Linked DNA regions of Arabidopsis thaliana. The protein of the gene in region 1 interacts with the protein of each later gene in a pairwise test. Each region holds a gene or a part of one and is shown in the gene's direction. Other genes may lie near its edges. The genes, in order: AT1G24050, LSM1B, AT1G04290 and AT5G54920.

Evidence for each region.
Region 2: the proteins of AT1G24050 (region 1) and LSM1B interact in a two-hybrid assay, tested with the Arabidopsis thaliana proteins (one large-scale study listed by BioGRID).
Region 3: the proteins of AT1G24050 (region 1) and AT1G04290 interact in a two-hybrid assay, tested with the Arabidopsis thaliana proteins (one large-scale study listed by BioGRID).
Region 4: the proteins of AT1G24050 (region 1) and AT5G54920 interact in a two-hybrid assay, tested with the Arabidopsis thaliana proteins (one large-scale study listed by BioGRID).

The regions. Positions count from the first base shown.
Region 1 is NC_003070.9:8,505,217-8,509,612, forward strand, and holds AT1G24050 (RNA-processing, Lsm domain-containing protein), read left to right. Parts: upstream 1-1,751; 5' UTR 1,752-1,840; coding exon 1,841-1,994; intron 1,995-2,100; coding exon 2,101-2,266; intron 2,267-2,361; coding exon 2,362-2,442; intron 2,443-2,926; coding exon 2,927-3,050; intron 3,051-3,181; coding exon 3,182-3,223; 3' UTR 3,224-3,693; downstream 3,694-4,396. Other genes in the region: AT1G24040 (Acyl-CoA N-acyltransferases (NAT) superfamily protein), read right to left, coding at 578-1,537.
Region 2 is NC_003074.8:4,665,546-4,669,961, forward strand, and holds LSM1B (Small nuclear ribonucleoprotein family protein), read left to right. Parts: upstream 1-1,762; 5' UTR 1,763-1,946; exon of another isoform or gene 1,947-2,056; 5' UTR 2,057-2,171; coding exon 2,172-2,232; intron 2,233-2,784; exon of another isoform or gene 2,785-2,804; coding exon of another isoform or gene 2,805-2,835; coding exon 2,836-2,904; intron 2,905-2,995; coding exon 2,996-3,111; intron 3,112-3,196; coding exon 3,197-3,259; intron 3,260-3,366; coding exon 3,367-3,444; 3' UTR 3,445-3,649; downstream 3,650-4,416. Other genes in the region: AT3G14075 (Mono-/di-acylglycerol lipase, N-terminal;Lipase, class 3), read right to left, coding at 1-110, 194-391, 497-793; EXO70D3 (exocyst subunit exo70 family protein D3), read right to left, coding at 3,963-4,416. UniProt on the Arabidopsis thaliana protein: Component of the cytoplasmic LSM1-LSM7 complex which is involved in mRNA degradation by promoting decapping and leading to accurate 5'-3' mRNA decay.
Region 3 is NC_003070.9:1,146,663-1,150,750, reverse strand, and holds AT1G04290 (Thioesterase superfamily protein), read left to right. Parts: upstream 1-2,217; 5' UTR 2,218-2,398; coding exon 2,399-2,578; intron 2,579-2,659; coding exon 2,660-2,803; coding exon of another isoform or gene 2,804-2,863; exon of another isoform or gene 2,864-2,886; coding exon 2,887-3,030; 3' UTR 3,031-3,454; downstream 3,455-4,088. Other genes in the region: AT1G04300 (TRAF-like superfamily protein), read left to right, coding at 1-359, 432-633, 755-1,933.
Region 4 is NC_003076.8:22,299,724-22,306,295, forward strand, and holds AT5G54920 (polyadenylate-binding protein interacting protein), read left to right. Parts: upstream 1-2,276; 5' UTR 2,277-2,387; coding exon 2,388-2,574; intron 2,575-2,816; coding exon 2,817-2,938; intron 2,939-3,023; coding exon 3,024-3,139; intron 3,140-3,310; coding exon 3,311-3,425; intron 3,426-3,765; coding exon 3,766-3,800; intron 3,801-3,997; coding exon 3,998-4,061; intron 4,062-4,143; coding exon 4,144-4,171; intron 4,172-4,295; coding exon 4,296-4,516; intron 4,517-4,651; coding exon 4,652-4,915; intron 4,916-5,129; coding exon 5,130-5,228; intron 5,229-5,338; coding exon 5,339-5,389; intron 5,390-5,494; coding exon 5,495-5,582; intron 5,583-5,674; coding exon 5,675-5,853; 3' UTR 5,854-6,072; downstream 6,073-6,572. Other genes in the region: AT5G54910 (DEA(D/H)-box RNA helicase family protein), read right to left, coding at 1-21, 102-257, 337-528, 646-969, 1,230-1,505, 1,613-1,996; AT5G54930 (AT hook motif-containing protein), read right to left, coding at 6,174-6,221, 6,304-6,572.

The DNA.
Region 1 (4,396 bases):
GTAAAATGGATTACTGTCATTTTTCCTAAAATGAGAGGTCACTGATAAAAAAACACTTGATAAATATAAACAAACAATACTAATTATGAATTACCGGATAATTTCAATTCAACTTCCAGCTAGGAAACTTTGATCAAGCGATATTATTTGGATATATATACTATAATTTCACTAAGAAAATCAAGCACTAGATGTATCCGTATAGTATGTTGTATTTGCTGCTATGAATGTTTTGCTTTAAGAGAAATGAGTACATAAATTCAGGGGTGTAGTCTTGTTTTTTCTTTCCTTCTTTCGCCTAATGCCTAAAGAATTAACCACATGTCTATGAACAAGAAATACAATCGCTGCCAATACAGGAAGCAGATAACAAAGATAAGAGTGTGTGTGGAGTACCTCTACTAAGATCATATAAACAATAGGTCGAAGCAAACGGGATTATCAACCCGACCCTTGGTCATGTCACATTTAGCTCCTACATAATAAAGCCAATCACAATGTTTGTTATAAATTCAGAAAAGGTTGAGAAGAAGACTAAAAGCTAATTGGTACACTGATGGAAAAACTGTACCCATGTTTACACATTTGCAGAGGAGGTCAGCTCATTATCAGACCCCACCATTTCTACTATAGGATTGGTGCATAGTGGAAGAAGTTTCTTCCGCATCAAATGCTTACGCCGCTGTAACATCAGAAGGACCAAAACTGTATCTGTCTTAACAACCTCGTATCCTGCCTTCTTGTACATATTGAAAGGAGCCTCATCAACCATCCTACAATGCAAGTATACATCTTTTGATGGACTAATCTGAGATATCAGTTCCTCACTCGCCTTCAACAAATGCCACCCAATTCCTCTCCTTCTAAGATCCTCTTTGACAGTCATGTTACAGATATAAGGTGATTCCTTAGGAGGAGTTGGAGAAGGAGGAGAAGCATTAGCGCCTCGTTTCTCCAAACAAACCTCAACAGTTCCAGCCATCACAGCCTCCTCCTCTCCATCATCACTAAACTCATCAACTTTTTTCCTAAAGAAACCAACTAAAGTAACTGCGTGTGGCAACACTTCTCTTCTCTCAATCAAATACTGCTTAATCAAAAACCGTAACACAGACTGATAACCAGAAGGTAATAACATCGATTCACCAAATGACTCAGCCAATAGATGCACCGTTGAATCCATCTCTTCATGTCTCATAACTCGAACCCACATCGATCCAGATTCAAGCTCTTGAAAATACGCAAATCCTTCAAGAGTTTTAAGCTTCTCTAACTCATCGTTACTCAAAAACCTCCCGGTACGAAACGATTCCTCTAGAAACGCGTAATTCCCGGTCGATTTAGAGTTTTCTTCTCCAGTTTCTGTAGCTGTCGAAACTGAAGAAGGAGGGAAAGCGAATCTGAGATTGGAGCGGTGAGATTTACACGAGTAGAGTAATGGATATCTATGTGAAGAAGACGAGAAGCCAAACTTCGTTGATTGGGTTGGTTTGAGAGAATCAACAGAGAAAGCTAGTGAGATGCTTAAAGCCGCCATTGACACACACACACACGATTTTCTCCGATTTGATTGTGGTTCAGTGTTCGCTAATCTGTTTATAACGAAATAAAATGGATAAAGTAACAGTCATACACTAATCTTTAAAACGCCGCGTTTTGAACTAATCATGAAGCTCAGTAGTTATTGGGCCCTTATGGCCCATATACTGATATAAAAATGAGGAAACTGTTATAAGCCAGTAGCTATTTGGGCTTAAGGCCCATATTGCGATATATATAGTTTTAATTTTTCCGAAGTTCGGCGATTTCAGAAGACGGAGGAGGAGCGAGGACGGCCGCCATGGATCCAGCAGGAGCATCGGTGGCCAGCGCAATCGGAGGAGAAGGAGAGAAATTCGCGGTGGGGAATATTTATTCAGTGAAGGTGATCACCGGAGATGAGTTCAGAGGGATCGTCATGGCTTACGACCCCATCCCCAACTTCGTCTTTTTTGATATCCTTAATTTCTTTAATTGTTTGTTTCATCAAAATTTGAGATTTAGGTATTTTCAATGTCTTGACCTGAATTGTGTTATCCTTGACGAGTTATTGGTTATTACAAGAGGGTACAAAACCTAGACCTGGGCATTTGAAGAACACTCGGATGGTGAATGCGAGTTTTATTACAGGGCTTTCGTATTTAGGCAAAACTGAAGATCCACTTGATTCAGACAACTTTTCTGTTGATCTTAATGGTCTCCGAGCTAAAGAGGCACTTGCTATCAGGTGATAAGATATTTTGTTGTTGAATCCTTTCAAAATGCAATTTTTATTGCTATTTGCTTGTTTTGAGCTTACTTGGGAAAACGTATTGAGCACAGGCAAGCGGAAGCAGATGCTGAAAGAATGGGAGTTGGTGTTACCGCTGAGGCTCAGAGCATCTTCGACGCGTTGTCTAAGACGTAAGGATCTTCTCTTTTTATACGTTTTCGGATCGAAAAATAAGCTAATCTCTAAGAAGGAAACACAGCTTAGAGTATACGGTAGAGAGGTGGGACGAGATCGTAATCTAATGTTGTTTAGTTGAACTATTAGTTCTTTGTAAACAATTGCTTGGGTTGGAGGATTTTGTTTTGTGCGTCTAATGTGTTATTCCCAAAGATAAATTGTTAGGATCTGGACATGATTTAGTGTTGTTTTGCTCTTGGTTTCCGGTGATGCTAGTTTGCAACTATATATATGTAAAGTTTCTATGTTTGTGGTTGTTGTAGATTACATATGTTGTGGGCTCTAGTGTCAAGTATCTTTAGTCTTCTTTGTGATACTGATACAGTTAAGAAGCTGTCTAGATACATAGTTTTAGACTACATAAATCCTTAAACTTTCTTTGTTTGAATTTGCTTTTTCTCTTTCGAATGAATCACATGTGAATTATTTTCCTTTTAGGCTTCCTGTGCAATGGGAAAACTCAGACATTCTGGTGATGAAAGAGGTACGCGTTCGTAGCCCGTATCTTTCAGATTGTGTCTTTGGAGGAACTGATGCTGCCAACAACCGAGTCAAGAAAGTGGTAAGCGTCACTTTCAGTTCATTGTGTAATGCCAATTAAGCCTCTGGTGTTATATTAGTCATTTGCATTCAATCGTGTAACGTTGATCAAGCCTTGGGTGTGATAGTAATGCAATTTTGCTTTTATCGCAGCTTGAGCTGGAAAGACGAAGGTTGCAACTCTTTGGCACATGAGGCTAGTGAAAAGAGTCGGTCAGTGAAATAGCGAGAAAGGGTTCGTTGCTACTAACCCGAAAGGCGTCTATAGATCTGATCGACCAGCGAAAAGCGGATATGTTTGCTTTTCGCATGTTGTTGTCTTTACTTAGAATCTGCTTGTCCTTGTAAAAGCAGATTAGAGATTTCTTGAGTTACAGCCTTACAGGGATTGAAATTTGGACTAATTTCACCCTGGTTATTGACAAGAACAGTGAGGTCTTGTCTTGTCCACTTTTTACCAGGGCTTGGTTTATTTATCGCCTGGAACTGTAAACTATTCTGAAATGTTGAACTACTTTTTAGTGACTTCTCCGGTAGATTTTTACATCTCGTGTGCTCTAGAACTGAGTTCCTTGATCAATGCAAAAGTTATAAGAAATATTTTTCTGTTGATTGTTAGTATTGAACTGTGTATAGATTCCAATGATGATCATAATAGACCGTGGTGATGTATAAAACCATCTTATTCGATACACAACATATACAACTATGGACACAACTACTTTGCGTTTGGGTGATCAAGCGTGAGCTAACTTGTTGATTAGAAACCAACATTGATGCTACATGCGAATGAAATTTTACGTTACGACTAAGCTAACTCTGGATAAGCGCTTGCATGAGGAGATGGAGATATAACAATGATCACTCAGGTTGCTTGATATCATTTGAATCAAAGCTTTAAGAATGTTGTAAATTGAATCCAAAAACTAGTAAGACAATGTGTTAATTCAACATTGGAACTTATAAGTATCATAGATCGACGCGAGAGTTCTGCTTCTAACAGATACTTATCACCAAAACCTTAACCTATCTTTAGTGCAAAACACCACTAAACTATGAGCCACAAAAATTATTAAGAAGGCAACAAAAACCCTACTAAGAAGCCAAAGGAAACAATCCACACACTTGCTTCTAATCTTCTACTTGTTGAGTATTTCGCTGAGATTGAGTTGCTTTCTTTAGCAATCCACTACTAACACAAGCCTGAAAACACAACCATTTACCAGCAAGAAGACACCACCACAGCAACAGTGTAACATTACTGAACTCAAGATGAAAAGAGACTAACCTGAAGAGCTCTCTTACCACATGAACGAGAATTGTGCCCTGCTTGACCACATTTATTACAATGTATTGTGCGCTTGCTAA
Region 2 (4,416 bases), on another chromosome or scaffold:
GCTCCAGTTGCAGCAGTCAAGGTATCTTTGATGCTATGCGTTCCACGAATCAATAACAGAAAATATTTTGTATTGTGATCGACAAGAACCGTAAAAGCTGGCTTCAATATCTACATGGTGCAAAATTCAAAACTAAACTTCTCAATTTCTATGTTGAAAAAGTGCCTAAGAGTTGAGAGTTGTTAAAGTTTACCCCAGCTTTGGGTTCATGAATAAGGACATTTTCCTTTGTAAAGCCGGTCTCTTCTAAGAAAAACGGAAACGACTTCTTGGAAAAATGCCAACACAATGTCAACAAGTGCAAAAGATATTTGAGTTCAGTGGCTACTTCTGATCCTCTAAGTTCTACACTATCTTTACCACCAAAGACACGATCAACATGTAGAAGTCCCTACGGTTTTAGGTACACAATTACAAAAAGTTCAATTTTGACCACAAGATAATTAGAAAAAAATCCAGAACTTAAGACCGTTAAAACGATGAAGAGATGTTATACCTGCCTCTTGATGAGAAAATTGATCCCAAACGCAAGATCACCAATAGGCCACTTCCCAAGAGTCTCAGAGTAAGTAAAACGAAGAGTCTCAGAAAGAGTAGAAATAGTCTCCAACCAAGTTGCCGGAGCTTGAATAAGCCTATGCGAAACACGGTCAATCCTCAAAGAAGGACGAGAAGCAGAAGCTTCAGAATTCTCATCGTCAACGTCAGATGGACCAGCTATTAATTTCCGATTCAACGTGTAATATAAAAGAGCAGCTGCTCCAGCTGCTGTTGCCATAGTTGCAGTTGCCATGATCAATCTATCCCTAAAATCATCAATGAAACAAATTCGCTCAATCCAAGACGAAACTCAATCTAATAAGAATACAAAATTTAAAGACAAAATCGATTGAAACTACATTGGATGCCACAATTTCAATCTCCAGATGCGTTCTTAAGTATCTCAGACTTATTCCAGAAATCTCCAAAAACATGTAAAGCTGGAAAATTGGATATAATTTCGTACAAAGAACATTCTTTTCACCAATTAACCCCAAAGAATTCGGGATACAAAAAAAAGAAGCCATTAATAGAAAACTCTCACTTTCCTGAAACTTCTCGAATACCACAACAAACCCTACTCCTGATAACTATCGCGTCTTTTAACCGATGCAAATCATAAAATTGAATGTGATTTAGCTTAAAATTGAACAGGATCGGTGAACTATAGAAACAAAACCCTAAATCCTACCCCAAGAATAGCATCGTTAAAACACGAAGTTCTTTGTGAATCAAACCTGGAAAAATAAGACGAAATCGTGACCTTAATTTGAGGGTTTTACAGTGGAGAAGGAAGGTTAAGGTTGCTTTAGCTTATGTACGATATCTCCGGGAAGGGGAAGCTGCTTTCTCTCCGATGATGTTGTTAGCTACAAGATGCTGCAATGCAAAAGTGTGAAAACAGAATTTTTTGTTTTGCTTTAAATAAACTGCGCTACGTTTTTGTGCTAAGCGAACGCCGCGTAGTTTCGCGCCGCCGAGATCTGATGCTTACGTGGGAATATATTATTGGATGACTTACCCATAAAAGCGTTTTAACATAAATCAAGCAGTAAATAATAATAGTGTTAAATCGACTTTTTTGGTCCATAAATTAAAATTTATTCGAAACAGATATTTTATTAGCTTGGAAGATTAGTCTCATTTATTTAAGAAACATTCAGTCACAATAATTATTAGGAAATTTAACATTAAATTGGAAAGTGCTTAAAGTATTAAAGTACAACGTCTTATCTATCGAGTTAAGAAATCGTGGACATTGCTTGAAAATAATAAAAAAGGGACAGTGGACGGATTTGCTCGCTAGTTTTCTCTTCGAATTTTCCACAAACAAATTTTCTCAGCCAAAGTTCGATCGGATCTGGGTTTTATATTTTTTTGAAGAACCCGTGTCCGTCTTCGATCAGGTGTCGAAAGTCTCAATCTTTTTTAATCACTTTATCAATTTAAACCCTTTGGTCAAAACCCTAATTTAGATTTCTCTTTCCGTCTTCACTTTTTTTTTTTCCTGTCAAAGTTCGCGTTCAATAGCCAAATCTTATCTCTTCAGCTGGAATCTGACGAACATTATTATCATCGGTAGTGTTCTATAGAAAGACCGAAAGTTTTCTTCAATTTCAAAGTCAGTGGCGATGTCGTGGGCTGGTCCTGAAGAAATTTATCTTTCAACATCACTCGCTAGTTATCTCGATAGTAAATCCGTCTCTCTTTCTCTCTGTTTCACATATTTGTTGAACCGTATGAATGCATGTAGTTAAAATAATTGGCCGTGATGGCTCTGTACGCATTTGGGAGCTCAATTTTGCAAACAATTCTCTGTTTTTTTGACGTTTGATTTTGACTTCTTATTGATATATAGGCTGTACTATTTTGTGGCTGTATCCAAAGCTTGTCAATTTTGGTGTTGAATTGTCTCAAAGAGACATTCATTGATTAAGATATTGATTATTGAATCAAAGCTTTAGTTTTTTTTTAATTGGGTCAAATCTAACTGTTCATCAGTTATTGTTGTCAAGCTAAATTTTAGCATGCGTGAGAGATTAGATGTGATTGAGGTTGCTGGCTCACTCTTTATTCAACTTACGAAGTATAAACTTTAACCTTTGTTGAAATTTAATTCACTATCGGCTTTTTGATGTTGGTTCTTTGAGTTTAAAAGTCAATGATCTTCTTTTGCTGATGTTTTTGGGCTATGAGTTAGTTCTCAATCTCATTTGGCGTACCGTTTTCTTTTTTAGATATGAATCAATGTGCATCAGTTACTTATGTATGTTGGCTCTGCTCTTGATGATGCAGGAAAACTACTTGTGCTTCTTAGAGATGGTAGAAAGCTAATGGGAACACTCCGTTCCTTTGATCAATTCGGTATTCACTTTTCTTTCCATGTTTCTAGATTTACGATATTGTTGATGAGCGGGAGAGATTTGACTTTTTTTTGTTCGTTGTAAATACACAGCCAATGCGGTTCTAGAAGGTGCGTGTGAGAGGGTAATTGTTGGTGAACAATACTGTGACATTCCTTTAGGCCTCTATGTAATCCGTGGAGAGAATGTTGTTTTGATTGGTGAGCTGGTAAGACTTCTCCTTGTTTGTCTTTTCTTGCTGTGTCACCTCGTGTTTTCCAATTCACTGAGTTTGACCTTAAACTATGTATTAGGACACGGAGAGAGAAGAGCTTCCTCCACATATGATTCGCGTCTCAGAGGCAGAGATTAAAAGGGTAAGACATCGCATAACATGTTCATTTTGATTAGCCAAATTTGATTCATTTGTGATGCTGTGTGCGTGCTGATGATTTGGTTTTCGGGAATCTGTCTGTTGATGCAGGCACAAAAGGTGGAGAGGGAAGCGAGTGAGCTGAGAGGAACAATGAGGAAGAGAATGGAGTTTCTTGACTTTGATTAAACCAGATTGTATCCCCATTCATTATTGGCTTGATGCTCTGCTTTGGCTCGCAAGTTTTATGATGAGCCTTTTTGGTGTGTTGACTTAGGGGATCGACGCAATTCTTGTGTTTCATTTTGGATGAATATGACAATAAATCTGTGTACTTTTGTCTTTGGATCTATTTACCTTTTTAAGAAAAAAATGTTAAGCAATTTCTTTCTCTATTTTGGAACTTTTAAACAAGGAGCTTGCCTATGGCTACTACCAAACGGAACAAAAATGGAGCAAATGAGTAGAGGACGTCGCACATTGCAAAATTTACATGGTACTTATTGGTTCTGTGATCAATCAGGACTTTTATAAATAGAAGACATATGGCACAAACAACAACACACAAATATGTTCACCTGGAGATTATTCCACCGGGCAGGAAACCCGTGAATAAAAATTCAAAGAATGGTTCTATTTCTATGACATCCTAATGTGACTGAAAAACGAAAGAAAGAAGATAGAACTCTCGGGTTTTCGATCTTCTTTTATCGCCTCCTCAAGTGTGGTGGTGTGGTATATCCTTCGAAGAAATCTAGAACGATGGTCTCGATATCTTCAACCGAATATTTCAAATAGTTCTCAGGGTGTCTTCCACTCTCTATATGACCCCTGAACCTTCCAAGAAACGATCTATAAGCAGGGATTAGATGCTCGGATAGCGATATTCGGAGTTCTTCTCTAAGCTGAGCATCTGGAACCGACCATGTGGACTGAGTCCTGTGAACCTCTTCGAACATTGTATTGAATGCCTTAAACCTCTCTCTTAATGCACTTCTTGATACACCTGAGGAGAAACTCCCACTCACATGTAATCCTTCATCTCTCAAACTATTCAGTACTCTGACCCATGTAGCTCTCTGGTAGTTTGTGGCAGCATGTCTAAATATCCCAGTGAGTTTCCTTAAATAATGGTCTCCAATCATCTCTCGTAGTTCTGGT
Region 3 (4,088 bases), 7.4 Mb from region 1:
GTCACGGAGAAAGCACAATCTTCAGCTGAAAAGCCTGATACTCTTGGAGATGTGTCCGACATATCTGATTCTGTGGATGGTTCGGCTGACATTCTTCAGCCTGATTTAGAAGATAGGGATAGTAGTTCTGTTCTTTGGGATACTGATGCCTTGGAAATTCATCCTCCATCATCAGAAGGGAGCAGTAGAGGAAGAGGCATTTCGATATCTACACCCAATGGAATTACAGAAGGAAAGAGTCATTCCACTATGGATGATAGTTCTTCAACTTGTTCTAATGATTCTATCCGATCGGGGGTAACCAATGGGTCCTACCAAGGGAATTCCTTGAATTTCCGAAACCAGAAGTCGCCGAACAAGTAAGTTTGTTTCGGCTGTCCTTTGTTTCTTGTCAGTCCTGAATCCTTAGTGATACGCTTTGTGACTTGCAGAGGAAAGAACCAACAAGTGAAAGCAATGACTGATGCCCACAGTTTAGCGAGTGAAACAGATGATCAACCCTCAACACTTGGAACAGACCCCAAGGGTCAGAATTATTCTTCCGAGGCAAGCAACGTTGGTGAATCTGATTGGGTTGTTGTCTCCCACATCCAGGAGCCAGAGGGTTCTCGAAATCGTATTCCTGTTGGGAGGGTTCGTCATTCATGCTTTTAATGTTTTGAAATTAGAAGATCGCTGATTGAATTATTGGTTTCGTGCAAAGAGGTCCAGAATTTCACAATTTAGTTGTCCCTTTTTCAAATTCATTTTGCAGGAACGCAAAACGGTTCAATCCATTGTGAACTCGGTCGACATGGATCGACCTAAAGAGAAAAGCACTGCTGTACTTTCTTCTCCCAGAAATGTTGCCAAGAATCCTTCACCATTAACTCAGACAAAACCGGAGAAAAAGAGCATTTCAACCGCAGACGGTATTCCAAACAGGAAAGTACTGGCAACTGGACCACCTTCATCAAGCCAAGTAGTGCTTCCTTCAGATATTCAGTCGCAAACTGTTGGTCTCAGAGCTGATATGCAAAAACTCTCTGCTCCAAAACAACCACCAGCAACAACTATATCAAGGCCTTCCAGTGCTCCAATAATCCCTGCGATGCGACCCTCCCCAATCACCGTCTCTTCCTCAGTTCAAACAACAACATCCCTTCCTCGTTCGGTTAGCTCAGCTGGTCGTCTAGGTCCAGATCCATCCCTACACAACCAACAAACATACACTCCTCAATCCTATAAAAACGCTATAGTCGGTAACTCTCTTGGTTCATCATCATCTAGTTTCAACCACCACCCAAGCTCTCATGGAGTTGTCCCGACCACATTGCCATCATCATCTTACTCGCAAGCACCAACATCATCTTATCAGTCAAGCTTCCCTTACAGTCAAGATGGGCTCTTGTGGACAGGAAGAAGTCCCAGTTCTGTAAACATGGGCATGTACAACAACACTTACTCACCCGCCGTTACTAGCAACAGATCGCTGAACCACATGGACGTTCAGATAGCGCAGCAACAAGCACAAAGCATGATGACGGATGAGTTCCCTCACCTAGACATCATCAATGATCTGCTGGAAGACGAACAGTGCAGCAACATGGTGTATAACGGAAGCATATTCAATCCACAACCGCAAGTGTTCAACGGGCAGTACTCATCATACCATGGTGAGTTATTGTCTGGTGGCAGGACCAGGAGTTTCGGAGAGGAAGGATTGCATTACATGGCACGTGGACCATATGGTACAGACGGAATGATGCCGAGACAGTGGCAAATGACGAACATGGACTTGTCGTTGCCAGCAATGAGGAGCAATGGAATGGAAGATGGAACATCATCAGCAGCTAATTACCATCACAGTTACTTTGGTTTGGACGCTTCGAATCCAAGTTTTACGTCTGGTATTAATGGCTACACCGAGTTCAGGCCATCGAATGGTCATTGATCAGCAAATGGAGAGAGGGGATTTGTAATGTTTTTATTTTTTTTAAAAAGGAAAAAAAATCATGAATATACAATTTGTGTAAAGAGAGTTGTCTTCTTGTCATCCTCTACGTTTCAAATGGTTTTTTTTTTTTTAAATATAGTATAAGATAGTTTTCGCATAGAAAAACTCTTCCCTGAAAGTCCCTGAATAGTTTTTATAAATAAATTATACTCCTCTTTATCTTTAATCAAAAGAAACTGAAATCTGTCTAATATAAAATGTGTGTGTGTGTGTGTTTTTTTGTCTAATTTATTTTTTTCTTTCTTTGTCTAATTTGATTAGATCACTTCTTTATTTGAATGAGTAAAAACTAGAAAAAAATGTGAGCCATTTAAATCTGATTCATATCAAAAAATTTTCGATTTAAAAAAAAAACCCTCAAAAGGTGTTGATACGGAAAAAGAAAAGGGAAAGAAGAAGAGAATGGATCTAGAATCGGTGAAAAAGTATCTGGAAGGAGATGAAGACGAAAAGGCCAAGGAACCAATGGTGGCGAAATTACCACACAGATTCCTCGAACGATTCGTAACCAATGGTCTTAAAGTGGATCTCATCGAACCTGGCCGTATCGTCTGCTCCATGAAAATCCCTCCTCATCTCCTGGTAACAACCACATGAACAACAAATCCCTAATTTCGAGAAAAAAAGAATCCCTAATGACTTTTGTGAATTTGTTGAGGAAAGAACGCAGGGAAATTCTTACACGGAGGAGCAACGGCGACGCTGGTGGATTTGATAGGATCAGCAGTGATCTACACAGCCGGAGCTTCACATTCCGGAGTTTCAGTGGAGATCAATGTTTCATACCTTGATGCTGCTTTTCTCGATGTAACTTCCTTTCCTTCTTTCTTAAATTTATTAGATGTCTTTCTTTGCAAAATTGATTGACATATATATAAAAAAAAACACAGGAAGAGATAGAGATAGAATCAAAGGCATTGCGTGTTGGTAAAGCTGTAGCAGTAGTGAGTGTGGAGCTGAGGAAGAAGACGACTGGTAAGATTATTGCTCAAGGTCGTCATACCAAGTACTTTGCTCCTCGTTCCAACCTTTGATCGTTCAACCAACCTTTCTTCTTTTTTACATTCAATAAACAACATCAAGGTGTTTTTAGTCTTTGTCCCATTTGCTTCTTATTATTATTGATACTAATAAAACTACATTACTATATGTTTTTCTAATAATACAAACAACCTTACTTTTTCTCTATATGTGTTTACCTCGATGTTGAACTAAGCTTTTTTTTTAATATACAGATAGATCCTGTTTAAAAAATTTGGCTTATATATTTGTTACTGTGAATATGATGATCATTTCAAGGTGATGATGCATTTGTAAAGTATTGATGAGGTTTGTGGTGGTAACTTATTAGAATTGTTTATGTTTCACTATTTTTAGTTTCGCATTATGATTACTTTAAGTTTTGATACAAAGTTGGTACCATCCAATTATTTCAATCAAGTTGTTCATTCCTGCCTTTTCTTTTACTGTTTTCTCACATCCAACAGATATGTAGATCTTCTGTTACTACTTTTGTTAATGTATGTGAAGCAAAATTCAAATTAACATAGACACATGAATTCATTAATCAAATTTAATCAGTGTTCATGTATATTATCAAACTTTGTAGCTCTTATTTGAACCAAAATTCATGTATTTTTATCATCAAAATACTCCCTTTCTTTCTTCTTAAACTTTTATCAAATATATGAGCCACACGAGTATATGACCTTTGATTCAAAAGAAAAGGGGAATAGAATACTGAACAAAGGAAAATGACGCAGGTGATGTGATCAGTTTTGTCGAAAAAGAATATTAGTTGAGATATGTTGGTTTCATACTTTTGATCTTTTTTTGTTAGTTTATGTTATTACTGTATCTATTAGACGATGAATTACATTATGCATAGATAAACAATTAAATCACTAGTCATTTTGGCAATCATACTTTGAAAAACCACCCCATCCGCAATAAGTCAAGTCATCATTAAATTACCACATCATGCATGATATCAAATTTCATATAATATTAATATCTAGTAGTAGCTAGTAGTACTATATAATAAACATTAAATAAATCCCACTAGATGCATTCTTAAGAGAAATCTTCCAAG
Region 4 (6,572 bases), on another chromosome or scaffold:
CTGCAACTTTTGGTTGTTTGCCTGTGTGACAAATTTTTTTACAGTCAAATGTTTCCAACCACAGTCGAAACTCAAAGAAAATTGAGGACGGGAGCTACTACCTTGATGAGTTTTATAGGCACTTTAGCTTCTTGTAATTTCTCAATCATTTTTTCCTCTGAAGGTGTCAGAAAGAGGAGCGACTTCCCTTGAGTATAGAAACGAGCTGTACGCCCAACCCGGTGAATATAAGAAGCTACATCTTCAGGACAATCCACCTATAAAATAAATATGATGACATCACACTTCAGCCCGACAAGATCATAGAGTTTTGTAATTCTGGATGTGGATTCATACCTGAACAACCCAGTCCACAGCCTTATCAAAATCAAGACCTCTAGCAAGAACATCAGTACAGAACAGAACTGATTGTCTCTCAATGAACTGAGAGTACACTCCCATCCTTTTTTCCTGACTCATTTTTCCATGAAGACTCTTCAAAGGTATTCCAGGCCGGAGCTTGTTGAATGCTTCATGCACAAATTTGACCTGCCAGGATTGTGATCCGTTTGTCAATCTCAAGATAGAAGAAAGTGGCAGAATGAAAGTGAACACACTATCTCCATGTAGATTATTCAAAGAGGAAGAGAGGTAATATAATATAACCTGTTTCTTGGTGGAGAGGAAAACAAGAATCCTGGAATTAAGGTGAGTTTTGATGAAACTCCATAACATGTCTAATTTCTTTTCAACTGGGACAATCATCACAGTCTGCATCAAGGAAGTTGGAGTAGCTGTAACCGCCTCTGCATGTACACTAATGTACTCAGGATCTCTCAAACTGAGTCTTGCTAGATCCTTGACTTTCTTAGTTTGAGTTGCAGAGAAAAGCAAAGTTTGTCTGTGCTTAGGCAACTGTGAGATTATAGGATCCAACTGCCCCTTGAACGCAGAATCAAGGACACGGTCGGCCTCATCTAAAATCAGAATCTGCAGCAAAAGAGAACACTTACTAGGCATTTGTAAACAATAAGACTGAAGAAATTTGGCAGACAGAAACATAGTCGAAGTGGTTTTACGGTATCCTTATTTGCAAATATAACCATCCTAATGTTCATAAACGTGTAGGAGAAAGGCATCATGGACAAGTATTATAGAGTTAACAACACAAAATGCCCAAATGTTCTGTAGCTGAAACATTTCATTAAAATAAGGATAGTGAAAACATAAACAAATATGGTCATCATTACCTGAAGCTGTGGACATTCGAAGTTTGGAGTCTCATCCATGTGCTGAAGAAGCCTACCAGGAGCACACACCAAAATATTCATCTCATGAACTCTCTCCTTCTCAACATCAACTCCTTCACGACCACCAATTAAGAGCCCCGCACTAAACTTATGAAACTTTCCTACTTTATTCAAAACACCGAATGTCTGGGCTGCCAATTCCCTTGTTGGAGATATAATTATACATCCCACACCATCTTCAGGACTCCATCTCTCCCTATGTAACTTCTCCAGAATCTAAAACACACAAAAATAATCCATTAGCATCTATCAAAAATCAAAGCTGATCAAGATACAAAGCTACACACACAGCAATAAACTCTATCGAAAAATCGAAACTTTACCGGAATAACAAAAGCCAGAGTTTTGCCAGACCCAGTTCTAGCAGCACCAAGAATATCTCTTCCACATAAAGCATGAGGAATAGCAGCACTCTGAACATCAGTCATATCAACGTATTTCGCATCTTTCAATCCTCTTTTCGTTTTATCCGATATAGGTAACTGAGCAAACTTCCTCACACCTGCATACCGAGAGAAAACGGTGCCGTTTTTGCCGTCTTCGGACTTTCCGATCTTCGAATCTTTAGGAAGAGGACGCAATGAAAGTGGATTGAATCCTGAATCCGGTTTCTGTGATTCGATCCACTGCTTCAGAAGATTTATTTCTTCGACTTCGTTGAGACGAATCTGCTTCCTCATTCCCTTAGTCTTCTTAATTTTTACCATCTTGACACAAACACGAAGTTAGAGCTCCAGATATGGAAAGCTTACGACTTGAGAGGCTAGAATTTGCAAAAGAGCAGACAAAAGTTAGGGTTTTAAGATTTGATAGATACACAAGAAGATGTTGAAGCAGCCAATTGAAGGGTTTAACGATGAGTGACGATGCTTTTTTTAATTACCAAAAAAACTAATCTAGGCCCAATAAGGATACACAAAGGCCCAATAACAAAGCATTTTTTTTTTCGCTTCCCTCGTCTATCTTCTCTGGATCTCTTCTGATTCTCGAATCCCTATTTGTCTTCGTCTTCTTTTGTTGTGAACTTGCGATACATATATATATAGATGCGAGTACACCGGACTGTGAAATTTTGGAACGAATTGATTTGATTTGAATATGGCAATCGCGAAGAAATTGGAAAATGAGATCTCACGCTCTTCTCCTTCGTCATCATCATCATCGCTGAACGAAGCTCTGTTAATCTCTACTATGTGTATCATCGGCTTACAAGTCCATGTGCATATCAACGATGGCTCTGTGTTTTCTGGGATATTCTACACTGTCTCTCTTGAGAATGAATTCAGTACGTTTCCTTTTGGTTTAATGTGGTTTTGATTTGGTAATTTGTGTTTTCGTTGATGAAATTGGTCTTTGAATTTGTGTCGGAGATCACAGAGATTTGATTAGGATCTTACGAAATTATGCTCATTACTTAATTGGTGGTGTGAATCATTCATTGTAACATTGCTAGTTTTTTTTCGATTTGTGTAGCATTTTGGTCTGTTTGACTGTTTCTGAATTTTACTGGTTTGATTCTGAATTTAGGTATTGTGTTGAAGAATGCAAAACTTACTAAGAAGGGAAGAAGTAAATCGAATGTAGAAAGTGGGAAGATTGTGGAGACACTTGTGATTTTGTCTTCCAATATTGTTCAAATTGTTGCAGAGGTTGGTCTTTTTTTCTATGGTGATTTTACTTGTAGAGATTCGTTTAAAGCCAGATTGTGTGACTTTCTTATTTTTATTTTCATAGGGAGTCTCGCTTTCGTCCAATGTTGCAGGGGAGATTGAGGGTGAAAATGTCGTGTCGGCCGTGGCAGTTTCTTCCTTCAATTCTGGCAAGAACAGAAGGGGCACTAATCGTAGAAGGTAACCTTTGTAGTTAATGTTGTTATAAGTTCATATTTAGATAGAAAAGTTAGAAGGTTAAGGATTATGAATCTTGTTTTGCTCCTCGCAGTCTCTTGTCTTTTAGTTTTGTGTCGATTTGTTCTATGGCTTTATGATTTTTTTTTTTAATCTCTTTAATTTATGAAATAGGAATTCCGCGAAACGTGAAAATTGTTTGGAAAGTAAAGCAAGAACCTTGACATCTGGGGAGACCGCAGGTGCCATGAAAGAGCCAGGGAGAAGAGATGAGGTTGGTATTTTACAGGTAGCTTTGTCTTGTTTGTATTGTGGAATTTAACTAAGTAATTCTCCTATTGTTGTGGGAACTGGTGATAGAGTTGATGTCTAGCTCACAAGGTCCATGGGCCCTTGTGTCTCCCCAAGATGGAAGTTAAAGCCAGCCTCCATTTAGTAGGATGTAATGGGTTGACATTAAAGTAGATGACTTGGTTTTCGGTTTCTGTAATGGGTTGACTTTAAAATAGATGCCTTGCCTAGAGTCATTAGTTAACATCTTGTCATGTTGTTTAATTCAGCTTTCACAGTCTGAGTCCCTTTCTTGGTTTTCACTCTCTTGATTCCTTTTCCAATTTCCTCTTTTGCAGAACAAATATCATCCTAGCTCACTGAACCATCAACGGTATGGATCATAAGTATACTGTTTTTGGTATATAATTAGTGTCCTGTTAAAATCTTTATCTCCGTCTTAATATTTGCCAATATGTAACCAAACTTCTACTTATATATCAGTTTTAGCTATCTAGTTTTCTGGCTACAATAAACCTCTCTGTGCTCAGTAGGTAACTCTCTGATTCTTGTATATTCTTTTGCTGACAGACAGGCAGGAGTCCGCATTTTGAAGAATAGCAAAAAAATTACTGATGTTCATCAGGAGGATAACGTTAGTCTTGCACATAATTGGTTCATTCTGTTTTTCAAGATATTGCTCAGCAGCTGCTTATTATTATATTTACCTATTGCAGGTTGAAGCCAGAAGCTCAAGTTGTAGCTGTGAGTTCCTTTTTGGGAAAAACTTTTTTATTTTACTTACAGAACCATGATGAACTCTTTTCTGCTTCCTTTTTGACAAGAAAATGTTTCCTGACATGTGTCTCATCACGTGTTATAATGACAGTGGACAACATGTCTGAACGTGTAAAGCCGATAGAACAAGAGAAAATGCCGGAACCTTCTAGTAATGGTTTTCACGATGCTACGGAGAGACCCTCGTCAACTGAAAATTCTTCATCACAGAGCACTACTGTGGATGAAAACTCAGAAGTGAGTCTGGTTTTGGTGGTATCTACAAATAGCTTACCACCTACGCAGGCAACAGACCCTGACAAGAAGGCTAAGGTGATAAAGAATTCGTATTGGTTTCTCATATTCAGAATATATGTTAGTTTGAGATGCTCGTTTCTTGGTTATGGCAGCTTGATGACTTGTGCATTGTTTCATCTTACTTTATTTGTTACTCGTTTTTGAATTCAGGAGTTTAAACTGAATCCAGGAGCAAAGACTTTTTCCCCATCTCTTGCAAAACGTCTTACATCAGCTCATGCCGGTATGACGCCTGTTGTTGCGAATATGGGTTATGTGCCAAGCAATACTCCTATGTTACCAGTTCCAGAAGCTGTTCAACCAGAAATTGGAATCAGCCCTTTCTTGTCTCATGCATCTTCACCTTCCAAGTTTGTTCCGTACACTAATTTGGCTACTGGAAATGCTGGTGGTGGATCTCATTTTCCCCAACATGTAAGTATTCAACCACAAATGAGGCATCTTCTATTCTCTCTCTCTTTTAATATATCACATTTTTTGGGAACCTTTATTCATCTATTAGCTCAAATGGCTGAAATACCAATATTGCATGACCAGATTGTGAAACTGAGTATTGTTCGCAACCGGTGATTCAAAGTTCTGTGCAATCAATGGATTATTTTTTTCATTTGAACTCATTTTTCTGCAGATGGTTGGACCAACTATTAACAGGGGACAGCCACATAGATTCACCACTCAGTACCATTCTGTTCAACCCACACCAATGCTTGTAAATCCCAATCCTCAGGTTGCATTTCATTAACAACACCATATTCTCACTTCTGTTCATAAAATTGTTTATAAGAATTGAGTGATAGTGTATGAGTTTCTAAATGCTAATTGAATCGTATATTCCAGGTGATGGTCGGGAGATCAGGACAGCTTATGTATATGCAACCAATTTCTCAGGTAAGAAGAACTTGAATAATAATATTATTGTGTACATAAACAATCACATTAGCCTTTTTTGCTTACAAGAAACTCAAATCCGCTTCCCTTTTATGTTCTTATAAGGATTTGGTTCAAGGAGCACCACATAACTCACATTTGCCTCCTCGTCCTCTCTTTACTCCCCAACAGTTTCAGTATCCAAAGCATCAGAGTAAAACATTCTTCTCTGTCCAATTATGGTTTCATGTTAAGTAAGACCAAAGATTTTGGTTTTCACTAAACTTCACTTTCTTGGTAATTCAGGTCTAATCGCAACTGGTCAACCGATGCATCTATATGCTCCACAACCATTTGCAGCCAATGGACATCAGCCTTACACAGTCATGCCTACCGATATTCCGGTTATGCAGTCACCTTTTCCCATTAACCGGGCCATGCCAATTCCGGTTCCTAATGGTTTCTATGGCACAAAGTTTCTATAGAAAGTCTTGTTTTTCATCTTCATTACCTTATTATTTGCCTCCCAGCTTAATAAGTTTTTGATACATAGTTAAAAACCAAAAATTATAGATCCGTCTGATGACTTGGATTTTTTTTCTTTCTCAATGATATACAACTACTAGCTAAAGAAAACAGAAAGAGGAAGTTATGAGCATTTTATATAATGAATCACGATAATTTTGCTGACATCTTTAAGCTAGACAATAGTTAGATTCTGTTTTCCTATTTCTGATTACAATAAGATTGAATCAGACTTTAAGCTCTTAAGGGTTTGCAAGAAGAAATAATAGTCTTCAGAAGATCAATGGCCTTGAGAAAAATGGGTCTCTCTCACATTCTCCTGCACAGCCTAAGACAAATCAAACATGAATCTCTATAGAGAAAACCAAGTAAGCTTGGGATATAATCATTGGTATGGTTGGGTTTAGTACCTGAAGGAGTTCTGTCATCTTGCCTCGTCCGTAACTCGGCATGGGTTTCAGCATATGTACTGGATGGATTGGGTGTATCGCCTGCAATGGCTCAATGGACAGAGCTTGCTCATCTGACTCGGGTTCAACGGACTGTGTTGTGTGCTGGACTTGACCTTTATTCATCACCTGTGTGAGAAGCGTCTCAAAAGGCTTGCCGTTACTCGCTCCACTCGCTTGAGACCCTGTCTCGGTCTGCATGGGACTGTGGTCGATCGGGACCCGCTCAC